Arabidopsis thaliana: one gene and its partners. The protein of the gene in region 4 binds, or shares a complex with, the protein of the main gene of each other region. Each region holds a gene or a part of one and is shown on either strand. Other genes may lie near its edges. The genes, in order: IDA, IDL2, IDL1 and SERK1. A codon is read from its position in the direction of its gene.

Evidence for each region.
Region 1: the proteins of SERK1 (region 4) and IDA are in contact, whole or in part, in a crystal structure (PDB 7ODV), measured with the Arabidopsis thaliana proteins. Residues at the interface, in NP_177328.1 of Arabidopsis thaliana: Asp51 (codon at 3,561), Thr53 (codon at 3,567), Leu54 (codon at 3,570), Val55 (codon at 3,573); in NP_564941.1 of Arabidopsis thaliana: Lys66 (codon at 2,760), Arg67 (codon at 2,757), His68 (codon at 2,754), Asn69 (codon at 2,751).
Region 2: the proteins of SERK1 (region 4) and IDL2 are in contact, whole or in part, in a crystal structure (PDB 7OGQ), measured with the Arabidopsis thaliana proteins. Residues at the interface, in NP_177328.1 of Arabidopsis thaliana: Asp51 (codon at 3,561), Thr53 (codon at 3,567), Leu54 (codon at 3,570), Val55 (codon at 3,573); in NP_001078796.1 of Arabidopsis thaliana: Arg80 (codon at 2,764), Lys81 (codon at 2,761), His82 (codon at 2,758), Asn83 (codon at 2,755).
Region 3: the proteins of SERK1 (region 4) and IDL1 are in contact, whole or in part, in a crystal structure (PDB 7OGO), measured with the Arabidopsis thaliana proteins. Residues at the interface, in NP_177328.1 of Arabidopsis thaliana: Asp51 (codon at 3,561), Thr53 (codon at 3,567), Leu54 (codon at 3,570), Val55 (codon at 3,573); in NP_566774.1 of Arabidopsis thaliana: Met75 (codon at 2,482), Arg76 (codon at 2,479), His77 (codon at 2,476), Asn78 (codon at 2,473).

The regions. Positions count from the first base shown.
Region 1 is NC_003070.9:25,827,436-25,834,143, forward strand, and holds IDA (Putative membrane lipoprotein), read right to left. Parts: upstream 3,347-6,708; 5' UTR 2,956-3,346; coding exon 2,722-2,955; 3' UTR 2,482-2,721; downstream 1-2,481. Other genes in the region: PPC4 (phosphoenolpyruvate carboxylase 4), read right to left, coding at 1-83, 195-358, 514-669; NUDX1 (nudix hydrolase 1), read left to right, coding at 1,655-1,790, 1,865-2,172; AT1G68780 (RNI-like superfamily protein), read right to left, coding at 4,446-5,522, 5,679-5,900. UniProt on the Arabidopsis thaliana protein: Involved in an ethylene-independent separation step of floral abscission. Promotes abscission zone (AZ) cells rounding. May act with RLK5 and HSL2 as ligand-receptor pairs.
Region 2 is NC_003076.8:25,847,244-25,853,797, reverse strand, and holds IDL2 (inflorescence deficient in abscission (IDA)-like 2), read right to left. Parts: upstream 3,290-6,554; 5' UTR 3,002-3,289; coding exon 2,714-3,001; 3' UTR 2,423-2,713; downstream 1-2,422. Other genes in the region: AT5G64670 (Ribosomal protein L18e/L15 superfamily protein), read left to right, coding at 1-322, 612-695, 794-883, 997-1,263. UniProt on the Arabidopsis thaliana protein: May be involved in floral abscission.
Region 3 is NC_003074.8:9,335,266-9,341,447, forward strand, and holds IDL1 (inflorescence deficient in abscission (IDA)-like 1), read right to left. Parts: upstream 2,811-6,182; 5' UTR 2,705-2,810; coding exon 2,444-2,704; 3' UTR 2,166-2,443; downstream 1-2,165. Other genes in the region: SK15 (SKP1-like 15), read right to left, coding at 611-898, 949-1,194; AT3G25660 (Amidase family protein), read right to left, coding at 4,375-4,461, 4,542-4,655, 4,737-4,880, 4,969-5,046, 5,124-5,199, 5,285-5,379, 5,463-5,642, 5,732-6,043. UniProt on the Arabidopsis thaliana protein: Involved in an ethylene-independent separation step of floral abscission. May act with RLK5 and HSL2 as ligand-receptor pairs.
Region 4 is NC_003070.9:27,015,593-27,025,513, forward strand, and holds SERK1 (somatic embryogenesis receptor-like kinase 1), read left to right. Parts: upstream 1-2,565; 5' UTR 2,566-2,982; coding exon 2,983-3,070; intron 3,071-3,498; coding exon 3,499-3,631; intron 3,632-3,716; coding exon 3,717-3,788; intron 3,789-3,905; coding exon 3,906-4,049; intron 4,050-4,152; coding exon 4,153-4,224; intron 4,225-4,319; coding exon 4,320-4,391; intron 4,392-4,474; coding exon 4,475-4,587; intron 4,588-4,717; coding exon 4,718-4,849; intron 4,850-5,007; coding exon 5,008-5,349; intron 5,350-5,454; coding exon 5,455-5,849; intron 5,850-5,935; coding exon 5,936-6,250; 3' UTR 6,251-6,525; downstream 6,526-9,921. Other genes in the region: SEC6, read left to right, coding at 102-171, 258-345, 438-527, 623-739, 819-881, 1,022-1,153; AT1G71840 (transducin family protein / WD-40 repeat family protein), read left to right, coding at 6,832-6,949, 7,035-7,085, 7,161-7,202, 7,281-7,546, 7,629-7,776, 7,874-7,957, 8,051-8,166, 8,302-8,460 and 1 more; AT1G71850 (Ubiquitin carboxyl-terminal hydrolase family protein), read right to left, coding at 9,283-9,921. UniProt on the Arabidopsis thaliana protein: Dual specificity kinase acting on both serine/threonine- and tyrosine-containing substrates. Phosphorylates BRI1 on 'Ser-887' and CDC48 on at least one threonine residue and on 'Ser-41'. Confers embryogenic competence.

The DNA of each region.
Region 1 (6,708 bases), 1.2 Mb from region 4:
GAGAGATTCCACTTTGCAATAGCTGGCTGAATATATCATCACAAGATCTTGCAAGTTGTGTAACGTTATGGACTTTGTGCATTCTGGAATAAAAATGTTTATTATTAGAATCCACAATGTTTAAGTTTAGAATTATCTATTCATGTTTATTACTTGTAATATTTTTGTTGTAATGTGATTACAAAAATCATGACCTGTGATGAGTGTCTGCAATGCCCATTAAGTTAAGAGAATGAGTGAATGTACGAGCCAACGTTAAGGCTTCTTCTAGTGGCATTTTGGATATTTCACTAGTCAATTGCTTCTCCAAAAGGTTTGCGGTATCCTCAATACCAGCCATACGCAAATTTAACGCACTCTGAAACATTTAAAAACCACACAAAAATAAGTCGTATCATTCATATTTGTTTCGATAAGTTGATTGATCTATATGACTATATCTCTTATTACTACGATGTGAGATTCTTATCAAATGATCTAAGCATATGGAAGCGAATAGACAGAAGATGAAACCTGAGCAAGAATCCGAATGCGTTCGACTTTTTCCATGAATGGGTTGCCAACTTCCCTTTGTAACACATCATGGAAGAGACTACCGAGCAATTTGCAGTCATCTTCGAAGCTTTGGAATGAGATTTCCTCTGCGATATCGTCTGTTGTGTCCGTCATTGTATCAATGAACAAGGTGAAGGAATGAATAATTGCAGTGATCAAAGTTAAATATTTTGAAGAGTGATTATATATGGTTTGTTAGCTATGGTGCTTAATTACTAATTATGGTGGTCAACGCAGTAAATTATGGCGTAGTTAAATTTGTGGTGCTAGTCATCTTTCCCCAAAAAAATATATTCTTATTTCTTAAGCTAATTTTCTTCCTTTCCAAACTAAACAACAAAACAAACAGTTGATATATTATAATTAAGAAGAAAAGAGAAGGAAATTCTACGATTTTTTTTTTTCTTTTTTTGGGTAAAAATTCTACGAAAGGAGTAACTGGTTTTAACTAACTCTGTTTTATCTTTGGACCTACAATTTATTTTGTGCCTCTTTGGTGATTGTTATTTTAACATACATTCTTATGATCGGAAAAAAAAACTAAAGTACAGTAAATGACATATAATTTGGCTAAGTCTTACTATCTAACAAATGACTACTCCTTCTATTTTTTAAGAAAACATAATAAATGTTGATTATAAATACATTATTTTTTATGTTTTACAGTTTTCTATAACTCAAAAAACAATGATAATTAATTTTTTTTTTTTAATTACAATTCATCAATACTAACCAATAAATATTGCATAAAAAACTTAAAAAAATCAATATTTTAGAAATAAATTTTTTCTAAAAAAATAATCATTTATAAACAGAAAAGTATATGTATATGTTATTTTTTACATAATCGTTCTCGTTATGGCAACATCATAAAGAACATATATTATATAATATCATCTAAATTTTTTAATAAATAAAATGAAAACAAGTGCAATGGAAAAAGAAACAGCGATAATTGTGTACAGCCAATCACACCGACACGGCGACACATTTGCCAACACGTATATAAACGCATAACCGATACGACATCGTTTTAAACTCAAATTAAGTCAACAAAACTAAAACACGACAAGAAAGGGTTTCACTGTGTTCGATAATAATGTCGACAGGAGAAGCGATACCAAGAGTCGCCGTCGTCGTTTTCATTCTCAACGGAAACTCAATCTTATTAGGTCGCCGCCGTTCCTCAATCGGCAACTCCACTTTCGCTCTTCCCGGTGGCCACCTCGAATTCGGTCTCTCTCCTCTCTCTCTTCTCTCTTTATATCACCCAAATCTTGATTTGATCTAATCTTTGTTCTTTGATCAGGAGAGAGCTTTGAAGAATGTGCAGCGAGAGAAGTAATGGAGGAAACAGGTCTAAAGATTGAAAAGATGAAGCTTTTGACTGTTACAAACAATGTCTTCAAAGAAGCACCAACGCCATCACACTACGTCTCTGTTTCGATACGTGCGGTGTTGGTGGATCCAAGTCAAGAACCGAAGAATATGGAACCAGAGAAGTGTGAAGGATGGGATTGGTATGATTGGGAGAATCTACCAAAGCCTTTGTTTTGGCCACTTGAGAAATTGTTTGGAAGTGGTTTCAATCCTTTCACTCATGGTGGTGGAGACTAATAGATGTAAGAGTTAATGATTGATTTGGGATTGAATGTTGCAAATTGGGCATTTGGTCTAGTGGTATGATTCTCGCTTAGGGTGCGAGAGGTCCCGAGTTCAATTCTCGGAATGCCCCTCTCTTTTACTCTTTTTTATTGTATTTTTGGTTTCTGTTTTCCTAATTAGTAATAAACTTATCATGTGTCCTATCGATTTTATTTCTCTATGTTTGATTATTACGTTCTTAAGTCTTAACTCAAACATTGACCTATTTGAGAAAGACGAATGATATAACTTACAAGTTGCATAAAAACATATGTTTGATTAGCGTATGATGAGTGAGGTCTATGGAATATTCTTTAGTAGAAGGCTAACAAAGCTTAATCGATTTCTTGATCTTTATATGGCCGTAATGACCTTAAACATATATTAAGTCTATAAACATAAAAAGGAACAAATTCAAAAGTAAATATAAATCGTATGCATATACAAAGAGTATAATACCCTATGTTGATCTAATCTACAAAACCAAACCTAAAAGAATACAATGAATAAAATAAAATGAAATCAATGAGGAAGAGAGTTAACAAAAGAGTTGTGTCTCTTAGAAGGAGCAGAAGGAGGAATGGGAACGCCTTTAGGTAAGTAACCAAAAATATGGCTGTTTTTAAACGTTAATCTCTTTATATTCTTCTTCATCTCCATGGTGGCTCCAATTCTTGCAGCCGCTACACAAGAACTACTCGCCGCGAGAAACAGAACAAAACAGAGCAGAACCATCATCGTACGACACGGAGCCATTTGGTAGTCAATGTTTTTTTTCTTCTCTTTTTCTAATTTTTTCACTTCCACTTCTTTGAGTAAATGAATGAAGGGTCTTATGAATGAAATGAATAATGTGTATGTATGTGACTATGTGTTATATTTATAACATGTGTGTGTGTGGATTTGATTGGAAATAAGTGTGGCGGAAATGAGGGGGAAGTCGGGGAATGGTAAGAGTGGAGTGAATCCCACGCTATTGAGACTTTGAATTTTCCTTATTATTTTATAAGAATTCTAAAGTTTTCAAAGGTTTGAGTTTTTCTCGTTGTTTTAGTCACCGCCTTCGACTTTTATTTTCCTTTGTATTTTTCTATAGAAGTCCATTTTATGCTAGGAAATGGGAATCTGGTTTGATGGGATGGTCGTTTTTTTCAAGATTTCATCATATATGTACAAGTACGTTGACGGGAAGAAGAATAATTAATGGTTTTATAGGCATCGTCACCATGAGCTATCTTTTGTTTTCTTTTGCATTATTCAACTTTCAACAGTAACTATATCACAAGATGTATGAATAGTAAAGCAAGATTAGTTTTCGAAATTCGAACTCAAATATCAGACATGACTCATGAGCTTTCTTTAAGCACACAATATATCATATATGTCGTGCAGAAAGAAAATTAGATATCATCCTTGGACGAATGACGAAAGTGGTAGACAATACACGTATGTATAGTAAAAGGATTAGACTAAATGATAACATGTCGTAGGTTAATCATGATACGGAATAAATAATAATTTAGTTAAACGAATATACACATAAAATATACTGAAAAATGCATGCATAAAACACGTAAAAACAATGTATACCAACTCTATCTTTTGCGTGAGAAGGTATTTTAAGAAATTAAAGAGAGAACAAAAAGTAGCTTGGAGGGTTGACTCAGTTATACACAATTTTACAACTTGACAAGTGGCTTTCCATGATTCACATTTTTCTTTAAATTATGCCAAATTTGATTTGGATATCCACCTGATTTCTGCATCTATATCGGACTTAGTCACGGATTATTATTTTTACCTAAATAGAATTTTTTATATTTCCTTTATGAAATGCCAAAATAAAATAAAGTTCCAACATACCTCCTACGATTAGACATGTCGCATAAAATCATACAATTCTTCTAATTTGATGGAAACAGGTAGATCTTTACATATACTAAAAAAAAACAAATTTTAACTAGGTAAGAACCGACCGTATCATACATTGAATCATTGATACACAGTAAATTTAAACTAGGTAAGTCTGTTATTTAATTTTATGATTGTATGATCTAAAAAAAAAATACTTGGAAGTTTTTCTAATGAACTTCGAGATATCAAAACTATATTTTGTAAATACGCTAAATAATTTAAAACAAAATAATGCTATAGAAATAAGATGCAATAACAAAATTGAAAAGACCACAGCTTTGTATCATTCCAAGTTTTTGTTATCACAAACCCTTTGATTCAGAACGAGGGTTCTAATATTTATCTGCCTTAATTCTCTTACATTGGTTCACTCCGAAAGGAACATGATCGCTAAGGTTCTTGGTCTCATCTCCGTTGTAACACAGATTAGGGTTCCCCCAAACACCAAGTCTCCTTCCCATTCTCTCATAAAAGTACCTAGAGAATTCCAACTCTCCGCTGATGTTATTTCCATTCACGTAAAGCGCGCTGAGACTAGGCATTTCGGTTTCCATTTGTGGAATGAGTTTGCCTCCGAGATTGTTGTTGCTCAAACCCAAAAACCTCAGTTTCTTGAGCTCCAAGATTGAACCAGGAATCTCCCCTTTTAAGCCTGTGTTGGAGAGATCAAGAACCACTAAATTCTTCAGATTTCTCCACTTTATTCCTGTCAAGTCCCCGGCTAGGCGATTATTGGACAGAACCAGTTCTACCAAAGAAGTCATCTCTTGGATCTCTTTACTCAACCCACCTGATAATCTGTTGTTTCTCAAGTCCAATAGAGTGAGATTCTTCAAGGACTCTAGCTCTCTAGGTAACTTTCCTTCCAAGTAATTGTTACTAAGATCAAGTTTCAGCAGAGAATACAATCCTCCAACGCTTAAAGGCAACGCCCCAGATAAGAAATTCCTGCTCACATCCAATATCAACAATCCGGTTAACCCGTAGACCTCAGGTATTCTCCCTGTGAACCGGTTTCCAGACAGTACTAAACGTCTCAATCTGGTTAACTTGGCCAAATTCACTGGCAATGGACCTGTTAACTTGTTTTCTAGCACCACCAGAGATTGAAGGTTGGTGAGGTTAGTGATGACAGAAGGGAGTTCACCTATCAGTCCCGGGTTTGATCTGATCTCAAGTCTCTCCAAGCTTTTAGAGAGATCCAACCACTTTTCATCGGAGATTGAAGCTAGATATCGGTTAGGCGTTGTGAAGCAGTTGAAAAGAGAGAGAGACTTGAGGTGCTTGAGCTCAAAGAGTTGTGGTCTGATCACTGGACTTTCAGAACAAGCAAGAGAGTTGTCTTTCATAGTCCCAAAGCTTAGAGCAGTTACATACCAAAGCTCATCATAGATATCACAAGTCACACCCTGCAGAGTTAAACAACAGAGAATTACATCAGCTACTCAACATTTTCAACGGCTTCCGAATTCAATAATCATAATCTTGATAGGCTTAAAACATTACTAAGATAGTTTTTTGTTGTTTTTTATTGATAATCAAAGAATAGTGATGAGAGAAAGGACCTGGATAGGAGTCCAGCCACAAGGGTCAGGATAAAGATAAGAGCCATTCCAAGATTCACCAACAAAGCCTTGAATGGTAGAGTATAGAGCAGCTTGCTCTGTTTTCTCCATGGGACTTCCATCACTTTCCTCTGTTTCTGCTTTGCTCCAATCCACCACCAAACACCACACGCATAGTAGAAACACCAAATGTTGCTTCTTTCTAAGTCTCAGCATCTTCATCGAGACTATAATGAGAAGATACAAGAGAATAGAAGGAGAAAAAAGTGTTGTGTGGATCTTATCTGTATTGGAATTATTCCACTTGTTGCATATGTTTCTATCAAAAGTAATCAAGATTTTGGGGTGGGTGTTAATGTTGGAAGATGAAAACAAAGCTATCTCCACAATGGGTCATGGGACCCTTTTAAAAACAATGAATGTTGGTTGATTTGTATACAAGAACTTTTCTTCTCGAGTTTGGTTTGTGACAAGAAAATGTCATGAGAACAAAAAAGAAAGCTTTAGAGGTTTCTCTGTTTTGTTTCTCTTTCGAGTTTAATATAGAGGAGATGCCAAGAAGAATACTCAACAGAGAACAAGAGAGGAAAAGCCAAATCTGTTTCTCTAACTTATGATTACATATTACACAGCTTTATGTGCATGTATATAGACACCTATATAAGAATCTACAATATGACAAGTATTTGATAAAGACTTAAAGAAAATGTAAAGGATCTTAAAAAGTTTACAATGTTTAACATGCTCAAAGCTGGTTTTATACATAGAGTAGAAGCAAATTGAACTAAGTTGTGAAGTTATAGGGTACATAGCCAGAGATTTAGACAACGACTTAGCAATAGCAATTAAAACTTATGAACCAAAAAAAAAAAAAGAAGCCAAATCTTTAAAAGCAAGACACAGTTACCAAAGCAAAGAAACAATAATGGTAATGAAAATGATAAGAAGAGAGAGGTCCAACATCTTGTGTTGATAATGCAAGTGAAAGCGAAAGACAGAGAAGATCAAGTCTTTTATAAGGACTCTGTTA
Region 2 (6,554 bases), on a different chromosome or scaffold from region 4:
CATTTCTTCACCACTTCTTCAATGCCGTCCTTCTCCGATCTCTACTCAAATTCCGACCTCTACGAGCAGGGCTTTGTCGTTTCAAGGAATCAGGGCTTATAGTTTATTGAGCTTGAACGATCTGAGAGACAATGTGCCGAGAAAACTCAAGACGAGGAAAGGAAGAGGTATTGGGTCTGGTAAAGGTAAAACTGCTGGAAGAGGTCACAAGGGGCAAAAAGCGAGAGGAACGATGAAGTTTGGTTTCGAAGGTGGTCAGACTCCACTACGACGTCGTTTACCCAAACGTGGCTTCAAGAACAAATTTAAGCTCCATTTTCAGGTTCAAGCTTGTGCCTTTTAGTTCTGGGATTTTCATTTCTGAGGTCAAGTTTCGGATTTTGTAGCTTCCCTTGATTCGAAGGGTTAACATTTGTGATTGATTCCTTAGATTAGGTCGAATTTGAGAATCTAAATCAGATGGATCACTCTTGTTCTTCTTTCTGTATGCCATTATTGCTGTTCTTTAGCTGCTTGTGGTGAAGTAGGTTATACTGTGTGTGTAAGGATTTAGGATTTGACACTCTATTGATGCAGCGACTAAAGATGTTTATGATTGTTTTGTGATGCAGCCGGTTGGTCTAGGGAAGATTGCTAAACTCATAAACGCTGGGAAGATAGATTCTCATGAATTGATTACAATGAAAACGCTCAAGGTTCGGTCATACTTCACTCTTTGATTCAACGGTTTAAATTGAGTTTAGGATTCTTAATATGTCTGATTCTTACTGAACACATTAACGTCGGTTTGCAGGATGTGGGAGCCATAGGAAAGCAAATAGAAGATGGAGTAAGACTAATGGGTCGTGGTGCTGATGATATCAAATGGCCACTTCATTTCGAGGTTTATCATTTGCGTTATTAACTTTTGCTCTGTAGTCTCTAGAGCCGTTGCACCAGTCAATGTATTTGCTTAGTTAGATGTTCAGTTGATCGGTATGAGCGTGTTTATTACAGGTTTCGAGAGTGACGGTTAGGGCCAAAGAGGTGGTGGAAGCAGCAGGAGGATCAGTGAGAAGAGTGTATTACAACAAGTTGGGCTTAAGGGCATTGCTTAAACCGGAATGGTTTGAGAAGAAAGGAAGGTTATTGCCAAAAGCAGCGCGACCACCTCCTAAACAACAAGATAAGGTTGATAGCATTGGACGTCTTCCAGCTCCGAAAAAACCCATTCCCTTCTTTGCAGCTGAGGAGACCAAAGTTGAATCTCCTGTTGAATCATAATTTTGGGCTGCCATTTAACGTTTGATGTTTCTGTTTAAGTTGTTTGTGTTGTTTCTTGGTCAATGTTCACCACTAGAAAATTGAGAATGTCGGATTTTAATTTGACAAATAAGGTCTTTCTCGTTTTACTTTATCTGTAGTTGGCCACAACAAGTTATTCAACCATTTTCAGACTTGTTGTTTGGGATCAAGGCCTGTTCTTGTAGAAGGTTGAGAAAACCAGAGAACAATCACGTTAGATTTGAATTCATTATTATCCGGTTTGGTTGAGGCGTTGTTAATGTTAATGAGTTCAATGGTAACTTTGCTTTTTTTGACTAAAGATGCTAAAATCTGCAACTGCAAATATATAGGTTATGAGATTATGTCCCTTTTTTGCAGTGTTATTTTACCAAAACGATGTGCGAAATTTACCTAATTTATCGAAAAGGGGCTATGATTGTCTGAATTTGAACAACCGAACGTGATTAAAGAAGAAGAAGATAGATTTCGAGGTTTCAGAACTCATTACTCTTAACAAACATGTAATGATGAGTACTGTACTGTTAATTATAGCATTGATTATATTAAATAACTACGAAAAAAAAAGAGTACTCGATTGGTATTTTATTATCAAATAAATATGTAATTAGATCGGTTTATTTGTCTTTAAAAATGATCATTACGTATTTGTTTAAAATCAAGTGCAGTTCAATATCATACACTATATTTTAAAAATGTTTCTGTTTATCTTCTTCTATTGATCACACCTTTCTGATCTTATGTACCTATTGATGATCACCTTCCGGCATAAATGTCACGTTTAATGTCAAAATAAATTAAATGGCTATAGAATTAGATGCAACCTTGGTCCATCACATTGACAAATCACAATAGACATTTCAAAGACATTATTGGTTATCATTAAAACAAATCGATAGATCCCAAGAAAAAAGTCGATTATAAATCTCAAGACCATTCTACATCAGACTTTTTAGTTACACCATATATTTCAAACCTCTTTAAAGTTTAAAGATTTGATCTATTCTTTTACAAACACACATACAAATTAGTCCTTGTGATATAATATTCAAAGTCAATTTTCGAACTAATCATAAACTTTTTCAGATAGTTAAATTATTATTATAATAACAAGAACACGTGTATATCATGAGGATGATCGGCTCACACACTTTGATACGTGCAATATTACAAATTCGAGCTATCCAAAAAATAATACAACTTCCAATTACAATTTCATAATAATAAATCATATGTTTAGCCTTGTCGACATTAATCAAACAAAAATAACCATTTTCTTGGCATTACCAAAAAAAAATAAAATAAAAAACATTTACACCAACTTAAAACTCAAAAGCAAAGGGTAAAAGAGAGGAACCGGAATGAAAGAAACATATAACTAATTAAAAGAAAGAAAGAAAATAAAATTCAAGACCTTTCAAGCTTTTTCTCACGGAGAAGATCGATGCCAACTAAGTAAACCAATATCATTGTGTTTTCTGGAGGGACCAGAAGCTGGAACAGGGAAGTGACGTGGCAAGAACCCCAAGAACTGTTTAGTTGAAGAAGAAACGGCGTCGTTGTGCTTCTTGTGTGGTTTCGAGTTGAAGACGTTCGTGTTTGTTCTTGCTCCATTGCAGAAACCAAGAAGAAGAATGAGAAGAAGAAGAATGGTTCTAGTGAAGAAGGAGACGAAGAAACTAGAGGTGATTCTTGATCTTTGGTTTCGAGACGACATTGTTGAAGAAGAGAGGTTTTTTGTGGAAGGGTTTTTGGTGAATTTGTTCTAAATATAATTGTTGTGAAAGGACTTTATTTTTTGTTTGTTGTTGATGGGGAAAAAGGAGATTGCTGAATGAATTTGTTGACAGCAAGAAATATGGGCAGATGGAGATTGAGAGAGATAGATAGAGAGAGAATCTGACTAAGAAGAGGTTTTTGAGTTATGTTTTCGTGTGTATTTAATTACTTCTGATATATACTTTCTCTTTATTTTTTCACGAACTATTCAACTATGCAAGTAGTTGTAGACTTGTTGACAACTGGTTTTGGTCTACAAGCCGAAGAAACTGTTTGGTGGTAGATTTTTTTAGACTTATAATTGTTGATAGTTTAGGTTTATTGAAAAAATGTTGCAGGGCACAAATATTTACAGTTCTTAAATTATTAAGGCAAAATTTATGGTAACTAAGCACACAAAATGGTTGTAGACTTATTGTCATTAAGTGGTTTAGGTTAAAGGGGGAGTGTTTTTTACTTGACCCACATATGATCTGAAAAATTATAGGGAACGAAGATTTGTTTACTGAAAGGTATGGAAAGTTTTAATGAAATGCCGAGAAAATTAAACCAGAAACTTTTGATATCCTCCATATTCGTTGTCTTTCACTTTTATGCGAAAGTTATTAGAGTAATGAAAACATCCCATTAGTTTTCATCATATTCATCAAAAACACTAACGATAGTCGATAGCTCGCTTAAGATTTATATATTTCAAAACAAATTATCTTATGGAAATGGAGACAAGACGTTTGTACGGCGCAATAATGTGTTTTTCTCTTGTCAACAGTTGCATAGAATTATTCTCTTTTGCTTTGTATTTTCGACACAACTAACATAGTAATTTTAAAGCTATAGTGCTTTGGGAGGGATTATCGTAAAACTCTTGCTTAACAAGACTATTTATAAAATTGGAAAGTTCAACATTTACTTGCATGAAATTTTGAAATCACCTGTTTTCAGTAAGGTTTGAGGTTTTATAATTTTAAAATATGATTTTACAAAATAGTCCAGTTATTACATTACACATATAATCTTTCTGGTGGATAAGTTTAACATTACAAAAAATAAAAATCCAATTAATTAGTTGACTATAACCTCTGGTATATAATAATTTTCTATAATATTGACAAAAACAAAGGAAATAAAAAGATTATATAACAAATAAAGATAGATTCGTTTGTTTCTTCAAATGCCTTGGATGCAAGGTTTCATGTCACCTATGTTCAATGAATAAGAAAGAACGGAGAAAGTGGGCAAAGAGAAAATATTAATACAAAGTGATATGGTAAGGTAAAGCCTTTTCTATGTTATGTCAAGACTCAAAACTTTATATAATTTTATAGTTTTTTTGTTAGGAGAAAATATGACAGGCCCCAGTCTAAATATAGTGACCGATTATAATTATGTCACAACATTGCGACTATTCAATCTTTATTGCGAAATCTTCCTCAATTTAAGCTACTTCAAATGCATATATGTTACCATATTTTGTGTAGACACACGTATGCACACAGTCCATATATCAATCACCGTTCTTGCCATTTCAATCTCTTATCTAAGCTTTTTCCATTAGAGTTAATTAGAGTTCTTCATTCAATGCAACCTCTTCCCAACACTTATACGGTTTTACCATTTTTCATCCACTTTTGTAAAAGGAAATCTAATAAATGAAATTCAGAGCCATAAGTCTACTTGGCATACAAATTACAAAAGATTAATGGACATATATACAACAGACCAAATAGTATGTGATCTATTGAGTTACAAATTAATTAAAATTTGCTTTCAAAATTTTATTTCTTGGTTAACGTACATGACAAAGGTCAGAATAAATGATTATTAGACCTGATACCTTGTAATAGTTATCTTTTATGGAAATTAAATTAAAAACATTTCAATGAGTATGGAGTAAAATGACTCTTATTGTCCCAATATTATGAGAAGAAGTACACGAACAGAAAGTAAACTAAAATAGAAGAGTCTTGGTAATGTCAGGAACAACAGTTGAAATCTAAAGTTGGTCTAAGTCCCATACCTTTCTCTACTATTTCAAACACTGACTACGTCTTAGCTACCCTATTACAAATCTAGCAACCGTACTTCTCCATTATTATTTCATTCTTTTATTTGAAATAGTGTTTCAAAATTATTTTATTTTAGGCCAACACGAAACTGACTGACAATTCTAGCTAATCCCTAGATTGGTTGTACAGGTTTCTAGTGAAGTATAGTTATGGACCATTGATTAATATAATGTAGTATCATAAATATATACTAAACAATATACTAATGGTAATTGGGTGTGCTTTCTGATCACATCATTAGTAAGAAATCAACCGACATTTGTTTTGTGATGAATGTAATAAAACACAAGACGCATCACCATTCACACAAAGTTTTGTTTCATGAATTCAAAGGTGAATTTAAATGTAGTATGTGATGCAGACAAGAAGAGAAAATACTTTGTGAATAGCGAGTTCCGTCTTTAAACCAATGTTGTTTGTACGTAATAGTAAATAAATAGTTAAACTTTTTTACACTAGATATCCATTCGCCTTCATGTTCTCTAAAAAACCACAACTCAGTAAATCATTAACTAAATCCCAAACAACGTTAAATAGTAAACCAAATTTTAATAAATCTTCAAAATTATATTTTTAATTCCTCATTGCGCTGCAACTATGTGAACCCACAAATGTTACTTATAGAAAAAAATAAAACTACTTGAACGCACAACAAGTAATAACTAAAAAATATGCACACGTGCGATCGATCGTGTTTATACATGTGATAAGAATACATATACCTGTGAAGAAATCAACGTTACGTACTTAAATACGCGTATATAGTGTACGGAACGGTCGGGGTAAAGGTGGTGCGAGGCATGTCTCATGAGTCGAGTCACGAGTCACGGTCACAACTCATGAATCGTGAGTCATCAATGAATATTCATTGAAAGTGATTCGAGCATTCACATGATATGTCGCACCAAGTACCGTGTCCGAGGCTGGCATACAAAAAGCCTCATCCATATTTCCTATTATACTTGCATGTATAGATTACTCCAGACATTATATTGTGATTTCTCTTGTTTCGCCGAGAAATTAGTTTTTCAAAACATTTCAACGCCATTAAGTAGAAAGATTTATATTTTTGGTCCTTTTGGTTTGAGTAAAATAAATTGGGTCATGCGTTACAGAAATATAATAAAGTAATGATTGAATTCATAAATTTAATTTGTAGGTGGAGAGTGAAGACACTGATGATGTGGTGAGCTAACAAGTTCGTTAGCTACATTTTGATTTTCCGATGAATTAATGTTAACTTTTTCATAAATAATTATATGCTCAGAATTTATATTTCAATCATCTAAAACTTTTAATTAGTTTCGGTGCATCCACATCATTTACATGTCCAATTTTTTACTAAACATGTACATTTACTTAATCGTAAAAGAAAACTATTTATGGGTAAAATTTGCCCATTTTTTGTCGGAGACATAGCAGTTT
Region 3 (6,182 bases), on a different chromosome or scaffold from region 4:
AAACAATCAAGTGTCGTTAGCTCAATTGGTAAAGATCTAGGCGAAGTTTAAAGGTCGCCGGTTCGAATGACGCTTGAGACGAAACTAATATTACATGTTGTGGTTTCGGGCCTGGGAGGATTACGGGTTTCGGCCCAGAGCCTCTTAATATTTAAAAAAAAAGAAAGAAAAAAAAGAAAAAAGAAGGGAAACAAACATCTCTTGACAAATAGTAAGGCAAAGCAATATTTAGTCTTCAAACGAAAATTTTGTTTGCTCTTCATGTTATAGAGTGTGAGGTATTTATGTGCTTAGTTCTTGAGATGATCTGATGGATTTTAAAAACTTAAAAAGACAGAAATTTCGAGTTCTGGCGGGATCCATCTGGCAAAACTTGACTATCAAGCAAAAGCTCTTCTAGAGATTTGGAGTGGCAAAGAAGAATAAAGGAGGAACATTAACAACGGAAAAACATTGGTCAATTATAGAAAATTAACAACGAAATTAAAGAGACCAAAAGTCAATATCACACTTGAGAAAACGGAAACAAATCATTCATCAAATCATATGAAAAAGGAAAAAGAAAAAAGAAACAACACAGCGAAACACAAAGCTAGGGTTTTAAAAAAAACTAGGGCTTTGGATCTTCGTGTTTTGTGTCAGCCTCAAAAGCCCAAGCGTTCTCCTTGCGAATCGCTTCTTCTTCTTCTTCATGTGTGAAATCATTCTCGATATTAAAGAGTTCTCGAACTTCCTCTGGCGTCTTATCTTTGATGTAATCTGCAACAGTCTGGCAAGTGAGACCAAGAAGACCTTCGACGTTGAGATAGTTAGCAGCGAGAATGAGCTTGAAGATTGTTTCCATATCAATATTTTTCATGAACTCTGCGTCCCAAGCATCGAGATTCTGCTTCGCCTCCTCAGATGCATCATCTCCTTCTTCAGTTGATTCAGGAACCGGCCCGCCACATCATCGGGCTTCTTCTTCTTCGGCTCCTCAGATGCATCATCATCGACCACATCGTCGACGTGTTTCTTGCAATACTCGAGAACGATGGAGAGAATATTTCCTGTAACGTTTTGAAGAGGGATTTCGTTAATAACACAGTCGTCTTCGAGCAGGTGCTTTACGATCTGCAGTTTTCGTGCCACCACTTCCTCAACTTGGAAAGACTCGCCATCGGAACTAGTCAACACAATCTTGTTAGAAGACATTTTGTTTGCTTTGTGTGTTAAACGAAAAAATAAGTTTTTGCTTTTATTTTTTGTGCAGAGAAATTTGATGAGAGATTGTTGAATGAAAAATAAAAGAGTCGATGAATGTGTTTATCTATAGAAATCCTAAGAGTCGGTCAATTTGTGTTTTCCTTTTCCAATTAGAATTAGGTTTCATGTTGTTTCCTTTTTCTCAAGGAAATAAGGAAAATAACGCAAATTCTAACTTAACTAGTTTGTTGGGATTAACCCCTTTTATTGGATCCGCAAAAGAGAAAGATATTTATTTGTAAAATTTTATATTTATATATCTATATAAAATATCAAATTTATATCTTGGAAACTTATAAAGTATTTATTTGTATAAAAATATTTTTATGTTTAAATATAAGATCAATCCATAATACTCATATAAGTTCTATGCAATGACGATTGTAACAAGCTAAAAATTATAAATCACAAGATATGTACCATCCATTTTGATCCAAAAGAGTCAATGTACTAATTCATGCTTTGTTTCTTCCCTGTAAAGCTATTTGTAGCAGACTCCAACATGATTACGTATATGTTTTGGTCCTCATGTGTTGTTCATTGCTTTGGTTCTCATGTGTTGTTCATTGCTTTGGTTGATAAAGATTACATAAATGTTTTGGTGTTTCAGATCCCTGAAATCATCAGAAGGTTTGATGAGAAGCGTTTCACTTTGAAGGGTAACTGATTCCAAACTTGCTTCTAGTGATTTGATTATTTGATTTTGAGTCAACTGATGAGTGAGGATGTAGAGTACATGCATGAAGATGATGAGTGTTGAGCGAGATTTGGCTGAGAAGCTCACTACGAGGAGCTGTCTGGTGAATTCTTTGAATTTTTATTATTATTAGGCCAAACTTAAAGAAGCCCATCTCATACGAATAGACGCAGGCCGCAAATGGGCTCATGCAGTTCACTTATGCAATCCCAATGGATCTATATTACTGCTGAGAGATTTCTACAATTCGCAAATTCCATAGCTTGTGAATAGAAATTGTCTTGTTCATTATCAATTTGAATTTTTGTTCCCATAACAAATAATGAAAGATATAGTCTATATACATACGTATAACGTTCCAACCGAGATATTACAAATGTGAATGAACTCATTAAATACAACTTTAAGAATCTTTTCGAAATACAATTTCATGTAATTGTCAAAAAATTTTTGAAGCAAATCCTAAGAGATTGAAATTAAACCAAAAGAAAAAAAAAACAGTTAGTGTTTGAGATTATTCACCACAGAATTATGTCTCATGGAAGGTCCCGAAGGTGGTACAAGTACCCTTTTAGAAAATGAATGGAACACACGACCTTTGAATGTAAAACCCCCAATGATCTCTTGTCTTGATCTTGTTTGAACTATTTCCGTTTCAGAAAGCTTAATCGGTCCGATCCTTGCCGTGGCGTTGTATGAACCAAAAATCAAGAGGAAAACAATATAAAGAGTCATAAACATGGTTTTATGAGAAAGATTCATATAATGTTCGGAGAAAGAAGAAGAATAAGGAGGAGGAGACACTAATTTAGCTATTAGCTAGGGTTTTATAAATTTTGGATTTTAAGAAGGCGGTTTAAGTTTTGAGATGTATATATGAGCGTGTATATATATGATATATCATGTATGAAAGTATGCACATTCTTGTATGATTGGTCAAACAAGAAAAGCAAAAGAAAAATAAAGAAGTGAAGCGCAAGTAATGGAATGTTAGTATTTTGTGATAATATTAAAAGGTCAACGATACTACGATAGTGAATAAAAGACTTGAAATGCCGCGTTGGACGATGGTGTACGTACGTGTGATTACCTCTAGTTGTCTGTCAAAATTTAATTATCAAACATTATTGGTATTATATTGTGTAAAATATAATTTCATCATCAATTATGTGTGTAAAATTTAAATTTTTGTAAGAGAATCACGTTGTTGTAGACTTTGTATATTATATACACATTATGTGTGAACAAAAGAACAATGCGTACGTGATTGTTTAGTCCAAAGTTAGGTGCCAATGACTATCAAATCATTTGGTCTTCGATTTTGAAAGAAAAGTAAATTCTATTTTCCTTTTTCTTGTAGCTTTTTAACATGATCTCTTGAGAAGGACTTGCGTAAATAGTTTGAAGCTAACCACCATGTATAGTCCATAGGCCAAATAAACAAGTTTTGTTTAAAGAAATTATTTCCGTTATTAGGGGTTACCAAACAATTAATTTATCATATTTAATAGTTAATTATTCACCTGCAAATTATTTGTGGCACCTAATATTTAAATTATTTATCAGCACATAATTTTGTTCTGTTATAACAACTAACATAACATTTCGTCCAACAAAAATCTCTTTTCATAGGTTAATGTGTTTATATATTCATGTGACAACTTTCACGGAGTAGACGTAAATGTCAAACCATGCACACGCATGATCCGTTGGATTTTGATCGTCCACTGGAGACAGATATTCGTCTGGACCACTAGATTTCTGAGATTTTAATATGTTTGCATAATTATAGGTAATAACATATGATTTCTTCAGAATTATTCTAGAAATTTTAAAGTAGTCTATACTTATACTCTAGCACCAGAGTTTCATTTTATAAAATGCCAATAATCTATTTGAAACGTGTAATGCTTTTGACCATTTATTAAGATTTGTGTTGGTACTAGTGGACAAATTTTAAGTTTACTTACTCAAGATTTATAACAAAATATACAAATTTAAATATTGTGTTAATCAATCATGATACAACCATAATTAATAATAATCATGTGCATGAATGCAATGGCAAGGACTTCTTTTCAGTTGATACAATTTTTTAGTTTATTTACTCAAGATTTATAACAAAATATACATATTTAAAAATTGTGTTAATCAATCATGATACTCAACAATAATCAAGTGCATGAATGCAATGGCAAGGGCCAAGGACCAATAAATCAAAAACGAATAAAAGAAAAAAACCATCCCCATTTAGGAGTACCAAATAAGAGCATAGAGACCAAGAAGAAGAAGAAGAAAGAATACGTATGTGGCCCATGGGGTGTATCTACATTTATATTATAAAAGAATTGAAGTACAATTACAATTGATAAATCCGTTGCTTAAACCAAGCATGAAATGTAAACGCAAAAAGAGCCTTGGTGGTTACATGGTTAGGCTACATTGGCTAACAATGGAGGAACAAAGCTCGATCCTTTAAGAGTCTGCTCAAATATGTGACCCACTTTCAGCAATTTCTCCTAAAACCAATCAACAAATCATCATGTGAATCTTAATCTAATCTTTTAGAGTAAGCAAAGAGACAGAGTTTATAACAAACCTCATCAAACGCTGCTCCGATCATTTGAAGACCAACAGGAAGACCCGAGGGACCACCTTCGACTAATCCACAAGGTAATACCATTGCAGGAAGTCCGGCAAGATTCACATTGACCTGCAACAAACCTCATATGATACAAACTATGTTTCGTGTAACAACGATTAAATAGAGAAAGAAACTACGAAAGATTTTTACCGTCATAATGTCTCCAGCATACATTGCCAGTGGATCATCTTTCTTTTCACCAATCTTGTATGCAGCAGATGGAGCTGCCGGAGAAATAAGGATATCGTTCTGTTCTAACGCTGCTTTGAAGTCTTTTCGAATTAGTGTCCTCACCTGTATTAACAACCAAACAAAAAGAGCATACATTTATCTATCAAAACAGGTTCTATTTCTATTGACTGCATTTGAAGATGCGGCTTACCTGTTGAGCTCGCTTGTAGTAAGCATCGTAGTAACCCGCAGAAAGTGCATATGTCCCCATTAAAATTCTCATTTTCACCTTGAAATCAAAATTGTCATTGATTATAATCAAGCATTTGTTGATTAAATCAGATGGAGTAAATTCTGAAATCATACCTCTCCTCCAAATCCTTCTCCACGGGAACATTCATACAGCTTATTGAGTTCTTCAGCCATAACTTGATTACCATATCTTCATTTCCAATACAAGAAACAATATCATTTTCTATATCCATGATGCACTCATATTGTGAGTCAAGTCATAATACCGAGATTACCTGACACCATCATAACGTGATAAATTCGAAGATGACTCCGATGAGGCAATAACGTAGTAAGCTGGTAGTCCAAGAGAGAATGAAGGAAGGGAGACCTGTAAATTTTGGCAACAAATCTCAGAATTTTTACACAAAAACGAAAAAGAAAAACTGAGACAAAGGGAAAAGTGAAAATAACCTCTGTCAATATACAACCCAATGCTTCTAAGTGAGACGCAGCTTCCTGAGTAGCAGATCTCACTCCAGAATCAACACCGTCTTCAAGTGTCTCGCGAATTATACCAACTTTCACTCCATTCAATGGTTTAGACTCAAAATGATCCACAGATAGAAACTGAGACTGGAACTCAGGCACATCCTGAACAAAGAGAAATATGTTTCTGTTTTCAAAGAAAACATCTTTCGTTCATTACAATGCAGGAAACCAACTACAACAAGAGACCTTACTTGTTTGCTACTCGTGGAGTCAAACCTATCATACCCCGAAATAGCATGAAGAAGCATCCCAGCATCAGCAACCGTAGACCCAAAACACCCAATCACATCCAACGAAGACGCATAAGCCATAAGCCCAAACCTAGAAACACGCCCATAAGTCGGCTTAAGACCTACAACACCACAAAACGAAGCTGGCTGTCTCACACTTCCACCAGTATCACTACCAAGTGACACCATACACTGCCTTGCTGCAACAGCTGCTGCTGATCCTCCCGATGAACCTCCCGGTACACGACTCAAATCCCACGGATTCGCAGTTACCTTTAAACCAAAACCAAACCCCAAGATTCAATCCCTATACCATCACAAGCTCCCCAATAAGACCATAAATAAAGGCTCCAACTTTATTAACATTGCTGAATCATTCAATCCTAAACCATCATCACAAGTCTCCCTAACA
Region 4 (9,921 bases):
TCCAACTTAATTCTCAGTGAGATCACTAATTTTACTTGATACGTGTTCTTGACTTGTTCCTCCTATGGTAATGTAAATAACCTAGCTATTTTACTTTATAGAATGGTGCGAGGGACAGGTTACCGAGTACCTCGTGGCAACTTTCGGTGATTATTTCACAGATGTGAAAATGTAAGTTTTTCTTTCCCCCTTTTGTTTAACAAGAGCCAAAAATGCTACAAGTCTATTGAAGATGTCGTGGTGAATACTGGATGCAGGTATGTCGAAGAAAGATCATTTAGAAGATTTGTCGAAGCATGTTTGGAAGAAACAGTCGTTGTCTATGTTGACCATCTCCTAACTCAGGTTCCCCCATTTATTCTCAAGCATTTTTACCTTTTATATTTCATCAGCATACACAAACACTGAACCTTTGGGGTTGACGTGTGTAATTCCAGAAAAACTACATCAAGGAAGAAACTATTGAACGGATGAGGCTAGATGAAGAGGTTCTCATGGATTTCTTTAGGGAGTATATAAGTGCATCTGTAAGTTGGTTTCAGCACTTAACTCATTTTTAACCTGAATAATTTTATATTTCTTTGAAGTATTGCTTAATATTTCCACTGGAACTGTGTTACAGAAAGTGGAGAGCAGAATCAGAATAATGAGCGATCTGAGAGAACTTGCATCTGCAGAGAGTCTAGATGCATTTACACTCGTGTACTCGAATATTCTAGAGCACCAGCCTGACTGCCCGGTAAATATTATCTAAACAAAGCCTGCTCTGGCTTTTTACAATATCAGTATACACAGAATCTCTAATATATGGTATGCAGGCCGAGGTCGTAGAGAAGCTTGTTAGTCTGCGTGAAGGCATACCACGGAAGGACACAAAAGAGGTAAACATACCAAACTCTCTTTTTTGGAAAATGCTGGGTTATAATTGTAGCGAATCACATGGATTTTTAAACTATGGTTACGAGACTTCAAATGGCGAAGAATTCTTAAATTGACGAAATGGTTATGGTGATGAAAACAGGTGGTACAAGAGTGCAAAGAGATATATGAGAACACACTGGTAGATGGTAATCCTCCAAAGACAGGATTTGTATTCCCGAGAGTCAAGTGCTTAACTGCTTCCAAAGGATCTATGTGGCGAAAACTCACTTAATCTGTAAAACAGCGTTCAGCGTTTGCGTCCGTAACTGCTTTTCTAGTTGAGATGATGTTCTTTCTCCAAATTATGGCGTTTGCGTCCATGTCTTCTTTTTCTTTGCATGGTATCTTTCCTCTGTAAATTCTGTGTTTTCTCTTGTTTTGTTCTTTTTCTTACCTTTATTCCTGGATTTGAAAGTTGAAACGCTCGGTGGCCACTTGCACTAGGATATTATCCCGTTGTATTTAGGAGGCGTATTTTTTTGTCGCAAATTTTAATTCTACTGTTTCATTTAATTTTGATAAAATCTTCTTAAAGTTCGTTTCTCTTTCATAACAAGGTAGCTCTTATTGTTTTTAGAATTATTTCTGATTTGTGAAATTTTGAATTTGAAGCATATTTTTATCATGAATATAAAAAATGTTGGGGATTATAAAAAAGTTTGTAAATTCACTCATTGGCAGCTGATTTAGCCACTCACAATATCTAAATAAATAATTGTAAGCATTATCTTGAAATATTTTCTGAAATGACTGTTTCTTTTTTACTTTAATTAAATTTTGTTCTAGAAACCTTTTGATCATAATGAAAATAAAGAGTCCATCCACCACATGGGGTAAGCATAATGTGTGATATTTAAAGGGTAACAAATGTAATCTGCTTTTTATTTTACTTTTTACCTCTACTCAAATTGTATGGGCAGTTTTTTTTTTTTTTTTAAATGATAAGACAAGTATCTGTTTAATGGTATTGTGATGAAACAGTAGTAAAGTCATATCGGGCACGCCATACTACTTCCACAGTGGAACTTGGCCAAATTTTGTCTTTGCCGTCTCTACAGTTTCTTCCACCAAATTTTTTGTTGACAAAACTCAAATCTTTCAATCTCATCTCTGCCAAAGTTGGGTTTAGAAAGAATATCAGCAAACACTAATATCTTTATTGTTGCATGGTTTATCAATCACAAAATTCACAACCATTGTAAAAAAAAATTCACATTTTTGGTATGAGATTGCTCACATGATAGTGAACCTCTTTAACATTTTAACTTTACTTTCATAAATACGGGATTACGAATCTTACTTGCATTAAAAATTTAGAAAAGGTTTTTCTACTTAAAGAAAAAAGGGACCCAACAGAGAGAGGTTTGACCAGGAGAAACGGGTGCATAGCCTTAAGAGCTTTCAACTACTTTACCCCAAACCCAAAGCGATGTCACTTTCAACCATCTCTTCTCTCCCCCGAACCCGTTTTTTTGACCGGTCAGTTCGGGCAGCAGCACCGTTACGGGCAGCTTATATTCCTCGTCTTCCTCCTCTACACCACTGCATGCCCATAAATAAAGCCCGTTGAGATCTTTAAAAATATTAAATAATATATCAACGAAAAAGCTATTTTATTCATAAGAAGAAAAAGAGAGGAACAACAACAACACACTAATCATAGTTTCTCTGGCAGGCTTGTTGTTGCGGCTTAATAAAAAGCTCTTTTGTTATTATTACTTCACGTAGATTTTCCCCAAAAAGCTCTTATTTTTTTGTTTAAAAAAAAAAGTTTCATCTTTATTCAACTTTTGTTTTACAGTGTGTGTGTGAGAGAGAGAGTGTGGTTTGATTGAGGAAAGACGACGACGAGAACGCCGGAGAATTAGGATTTTGATTTTATTTTTTACTCTTTGTTTGTTTTAATGCTAATGGGTTTTTAAAAGGGTTATCGAAAAAATGAGTGAGTTTGTGTTGAGGTTGTCTCTGTAAAGTGTTAATGGTGGTGATTTTCGGAAGTTAGGGTTTTCTCGGATCTGAAGAGATCAAATCAAGATTCGAAATTTAGCATTGTTGTTTGAAATGGAGTCGAGTTATGTGGTGTTTATCTTACTTTCACTGATCTTACTTCCGAATCATTCACTGTGGCTTGCTTCTGCTAATTTGGAAGGTTCGTGGTTACTCAATTACTCAGCTTTACTCGTTTCTCAATTACTTTCTCGATTCTTTTTTATTTGGAGGTGAATCGCTATCTTTAGTGTCTGCATTTTGATTTATGAAAATTGTTGTTGTTCTTTGTATTTGTAAGATTTAGTGGCTAGTACTTTGAATACACTGTTTTGCTTTTCTTGTTCAGATCAACTTTGTATATTGTAAAGGCATGTTCTTTGGGTTGAAAAGCTGGGTTATTTGATATCTTAAGATTGATGTTGTTGATCCAAACATTCTCTGAAAGACTTCATTTGTTTTTGGTTTTGTAAAGAATTTGTTTAATTATTAGCCTCTAATCTCAGAGAGGCCTGTTTGAATAGTTCTCTCTTGAAATTAGACTTTTCACCAATTGATGCTAATTGTGTAGATTTGTTGTTCTTGTTATAGGTGATGCTTTGCATACTTTGAGGGTTACTCTAGTTGATCCAAACAATGTCTTGCAGAGCTGGGATCCTACGCTAGTGAATCCTTGCACATGGTTCCATGTCACTTGCAACAACGAGAACAGTGTCATAAGAGTGTAAAGCTTTCTTCTACTAATCCCACTTTTTAAACTTTGACCTCAGCGTGGTTACCGACATTTTTGTTTCTTTTGTCAAATACAGTGATTTGGGGAATGCAGAGTTATCTGGCCATTTAGTTCCAGAGCTTGGTGTGCTCAAGAATTTGCAGTATTTGTAAGTTCCACTTATGCATCATGCTTTAACAAAACAAATCCAAGATTTGACAGAAGAAGCACTGGAGTTACCTTTTGTAATTGAAATCTTTTTAACAAGTTTCTTATTTTCTTACAGGGAGCTTTACAGTAACAACATAACTGGCCCGATTCCTAGTAATCTTGGAAATCTGACAAACTTAGTGAGTTTGGATCTTTACTTAAACAGCTTCTCCGGTCCTATTCCGGAATCATTGGGAAAGCTTTCAAAGCTGAGATTTCTGTGAGTATACATATGCTTTACCGGCTCAGTTACAGTCTTTGTTTAATCTTAGGTTTTGTTCCAATTTTTGACTCTTTGCTGAAAATTTTACATGCAAGAATAGCCGGCTTAACAACAACAGTCTCACTGGGTCAATTCCTATGTCACTGACCAATATTACTACCCTTCAAGTGTTGTGAGTCCTCTCATTAACTTTCATTTATGTCTACTTCATTCTCCCTCAGTTGATTTGTTGAGTTAATGCACTTAACCTTGATGGATGCAACACAGAGATCTATCAAATAACAGACTCTCTGGTTCAGTTCCTGACAATGGCTCCTTCTCACTCTTCACACCCATCAGGTTCTATGATTTATCCTCTTCAGTTATTTCAGTTGTTGTGTCAGTGTCTGAACTTATTCTGAAACTTTCATTTCCTTGTGCAGTTTTGCTAATAACTTAGACCTATGTGGACCTGTTACAAGTCACCCATGTCCTGGATCTCCCCCGTTTTCTCCTCCACCACCTTTTATTCAACCTCCCCCAGTTTCCACCCCGAGTAAGCCTCCTCTTTTTAGTTTACATTATAGGAAACAGAAGATGAAATCTTTGCTTCTCTGTCAATCCTTTTTCTCATATAACTCATCTTGCCAATAAGGCAATAACCAAATGATCTAATTTGATTTCAGGTGGGTATGGTATAACTGGAGCAATAGCTGGTGGAGTTGCTGCAGGTGCTGCTTTGCTCTTTGCTGCTCCTGCAATAGCCTTTGCTTGGTGGCGACGAAGAAAGCCACTAGATATTTTCTTCGATGTCCCTGGTGAGTTTATTATTCGCATTAGTTTCTGTTCTTAGCCAGCAATTTTGTTTTGCAGAAAAGTATTGGAACAACTGTTAATGAAAATCAATACATAAGTCATTGTTTTTTAAGTTACAAACTCTTTTGAGTAAAATCTCGATTGCAAAATCTCTTTGCAGCCGAAGAAGATCCAGAAGTTCATCTGGGACAGCTCAAGAGGTTTTCTTTGCGGGAGCTACAAGTGGCGAGTGATGGGTTTAGTAACAAGAACATTTTGGGCAGAGGTGGGTTTGGGAAAGTCTACAAGGGACGCTTGGCAGACGGAACTCTTGTTGCTGTCAAGAGACTGAAGGAAGAGCGAACTCCAGGTGGAGAGCTCCAGTTTCAAACAGAAGTAGAGATGATAAGTATGGCAGTTCATCGAAACCTGTTGAGATTACGAGGTTTCTGTATGACACCGACCGAGAGATTGCTTGTGTATCCTTACATGGCCAATGGAAGTGTTGCTTCGTGTCTCAGAGGTAAAAACTAAACATCTTGTGCTCTCTCTCAATTACTTTGACGTGAAGTGTTTTTTCATGTTTTCCTTTATGGGTTCATAATTGTTGGTTACACTAATGACACAGAGAGGCCACCGTCACAACCTCCGCTTGATTGGCCAACGCGGAAGAGAATCGCGCTAGGCTCAGCTCGAGGTTTGTCTTACCTACATGATCACTGCGATCCGAAGATCATTCACCGTGACGTAAAAGCAGCAAACATCCTCTTAGACGAAGAATTCGAAGCGGTTGTTGGAGATTTCGGGTTGGCAAAGCTAATGGACTATAAAGACACTCACGTGACAACAGCAGTCCGTGGCACCATCGGTCACATCGCTCCAGAATATCTCTCAACCGGAAAATCTTCAGAGAAAACCGACGTTTTCGGATACGGAATCATGCTTCTAGAACTAATCACAGGACAAAGAGCTTTCGATCTCGCTCGGCTAGCTAACGACGACGACGTCATGTTACTTGACTGGGTAATAACAACATAAAACTTCCATTTGACCCCAACAAAAACCATTGAAACGAGAATCTAATCTCAAATACTTGTTTGTTGGTTTAGGTGAAAGGATTGTTGAAGGAGAAGAAGCTAGAGATGTTAGTGGATCCAGATCTTCAAACAAACTACGAGGAGAGAGAACTGGAACAAGTGATACAAGTGGCGTTGCTATGCACGCAAGGATCACCAATGGAAAGACCAAAGATGTCTGAAGTTGTAAGGATGCTGGAAGGAGATGGGCTTGCGGAGAAATGGGACGAATGGCAAAAAGTTGAGATTTTGAGGGAAGAGATTGATTTGAGTCCTAATCCTAACTCTGATTGGATTCTTGATTCTACTTACAATTTGCACGCCGTTGAGTTATCTGGTCCAAGGTAAAAAAAAAAAACATAAAATTATTGAACAATAACAAATTTTACAAGGTAGGTAGTTTTTTTACCCGTAAGTTTTCGTTTTTTTTAATTGTTAATGTAAAATGAAATCTAGCATTCAAAGATTTGTGATTTTGTGCTATGGTTCGATTAAAAGGGAAAAAAATTGTAATCTAAAGATTTGTGTAAGATTACTGTCTATTGTATGAAGTATGAACTATGAACACAATATATGTACATCCAAAAATACGTTAAACTAACTCCGCTGTTTTGCTACAAAAACCCTTTCAATTTTGTTCTACTAAACGTCGTTAGAATACACAAAAGCGAAACAGCGTCGTTTATTTATAATGCGCTACTCACATGACGCCGTTTCACTTTTGTGTATACAAACGACGTCGTTTAATAGAAAAATTTTTGGAAGGGTTTTTGTTGGGAAAAAAAGAGAAGAAGGGTTTTTGTACTTTGTGTCTTCTTGTTCCATCATCGTGACACGTCACACCTCCATTCATCTCCGCCGTCCTCTTCCTGTTCTTAGTCGCGGCTGGAAAAAACTGTGGTGAGAGAGAGAAGAAGAAGAAGAAGAAGATGAGTAATAATACTAATAATACAGAGATGAATAATCTAGCGATGGAAGAAGAGGATGAAGGAGAGATTTTCCTTGGTGAATCCGATGTCCTCCGTGAAATCGATGTCGACGAAGAAGGTTTTTTTTTATCTCCTTCAATCGTGATTTTTTTATCGTATGTATATATGTGTATGTGTATGTGACTCTTCTATTTTCGATTCAGATCTTCCTGAAGCAGATGATGATGATATGGACGATGATGGTGAACAATTTGGTAACAGATTCACCACCTCGTGTTTCCTCAATATGAAATTTTATGGTTGTTAATTCTACCAAATCTTACTTTCAGATGAAAACGATGACTCTGTTCACACATTCACTGGTCACAAAGGTAACGTTTTTATCATTTTATTTCTCAATTAAATGTTTTTTAACTTTCATGAAACTAAGAAAGTTTTGTCTTTTACAGGTGAGCTTTATGCATTGGCTTGTAGTCCAACAGATGCTACACTTGTTGCAACTGGAGGTGGAGATGATAAAGCATTTCTCTGGAAAATTGGTAATGGAGATTGGGCTGCTGAGCTTCCTGGTCACAAGGACTCTGTCTCTTGTTTAGCTTTTAGCTATGATGGACAGTTACTTGCTTCTGGAGGATTAGATGGTGTTGTACAGATCTTTGATGCATCATCAGGGACTTTGAAATGTGTTTTGGATGGTCCTGGTGCTGGAATCGAGGTATAAATAACTTGTCCTATATCATCATTGTAATTGAGATCCTCAGGTCCAAATCTAGTACTTACTGTGTGGTATTTTTCAGTGGGTGAGATGGCATCCGAGAGGACACATTGTGTTGGCTGGATCAGAAGATTGTTCTCTATGGATGTGGAATGCTGATAAAGAAGCTTATCTTAATATGTTTTCGGGCCATAATCTAAATGTTACTTGTGGTGACTTCACCCCTGACGGTATTGATATAAGCTTCTACCTTATATGCTTCTGTGGATTATCTAATTGAGTCTACCTGTTTTAATTGTATTGTTTGACTGTGTGTGGGTACTGTAGGTAAACTAATTTGTACTGGCTCTGATGATGCAAGTTTGATAGTATGGAACCCAAAAACTTGTGAAAGCATTCATATTGTTAAAGGCAAGCGAAATTTAAACATGTTACTACTGCACAAATACTAAATCTTTCGCCTTCTTTGACTGGTTTAAAATGCTAACTTCTTGCTTTGTGTAGGTCATCCTTATCATACGGAAGGATTGACATGCTTAGACATTAACTCGAACTCAAGTCTTGCTATCAGTGGCTCAAAAGACGGTTCTGTTCACATTGTGAATATAGTCACCGGAAAGGTTCGTCCTTTACTGTACTGCTGTTACCAAGCTTTCACTGGATTGTTTTATGATCTATATCATTTCAATAAGCAAGTTGGTGCTTCTCATATCTATTTGACATATCATCTAACTTTTTCATAATCATACCAACAGGTTGTGAGCTCCTTGAATTCTCATACAGATTCAGTTGAATGTGTGAAGTTTTCACCAAGCTCCGCAACCATCCCTTTGGCTGCAACAGGTGGAATGGACAAGAAGCTTATAATCTGGGATCTGCAGCATTCCACTCCCAGGTTCATCTGCGAGCACGAGGTATAAACCCTTATAGTTTCTCTGAGATAGCATCAAAACAGATATTGAAACTAAAACAACTCCTCTCTTCTTCTTTTTTCGATTACAGGAAGGTGTGACATCTCTGACTTGGATAGGAACCTCCAAGTACTTAGCCACTGGCTGTGCCAATGGTACAGTGAGCATTTGGGACAGCTTATTAGGCAACTGCGTCCATACCTACCATGGTCACCAAGATGCGGTCCAGGCCATCTCAGTCTCTACCAACACGGACTTCATTGTTTCGGTATCTGTCGATAACACTGCTAGAGTCTTTGAGTCATCTGAGTTCCAAAACAAAGTGACATAGGCAAGTGAGGAGAATACTTGCAGATACTATCCAGACATGTTGCTATCTGTGTTCGTTGTTGTGGTCTTAATTCTATGCTTTGTGGGGGAAAATTTTGACAAGAAAGTTATCAATGTCTAAAATTCCATATGTACACGGCTTAATTTATTGATAAATGTAGTCTCTGTTTGGAATTTGTCCTTCATTTTACAGTTCTTATGGTTCGAATGAGATTGATAAATGTTACTCCTTACATTGATATCGTTAATGAATGAGATTCATGCTAATGTTCCACTAGCAATTGAACTACTTGATATCATGAGTCTGCCAAATCGACTGGAGAAGTCAGATTTAGGGTCTGAGCATCACCATGGAATTATAACCGAACTCTTTATAAAAACTCTTCTCCCTTGAGAAGTAAGAATGAAACGGGCAAGCTATAGAGTGAGATTACTACACAGGAGAAGAAACGAATCTGCTGAAAATGCAGCCACCGGTAAAGTTGGATTAAGTCTCTAATACATCCGACTCCTCTTCTTCTCAGTCTTTAAACTGATCTTGCTCCGCCTCGATTGTGCCTTATCTCTTGAACCTGAGTTTCCAAAACTCCTCCTACCAGATCTTGGACTTGAATTTCTACGACCACGCTCCAGATCCTGGTTTTGATCCACTTCATCATCGTCCTCGTCATCATCAACAAAGTCTCCTTGACGATCATCCTCGACATCAGAACCAGAAATGTCATCATTCTCAGCCTTCGCATCAGTATCACAAACTTCCCCTTCCACTTTCCCCTTATCTTCTTTCTTGCTGCTCGAAGAAACTGCCTTGTTATCTTTCTTAACTGTATTCATGAGTTTCATGTAACGGTTCCTGCTTGTCACCAATTCATTACTCTCTATCAACATCCCCCTCTTGTAACCATCTCTAAGAACCACAGTGTGAGTCCTAAGCTTACTAGACAAGTAAAAGATACCAGGATGATTATGGAGAACTCTCTTAAACCTCGATCTCAATCCCATAAACTCACCAAGATGCAAAATAGCATCTTTCTCAACCTTCTTCGACACAAAAAGGTTCATGATCTCGTGCAAAACAGCCGCCGCCCACTTATCAGACTCATCGCTAGTCGCAGACAGATGAAGTGCATTCTC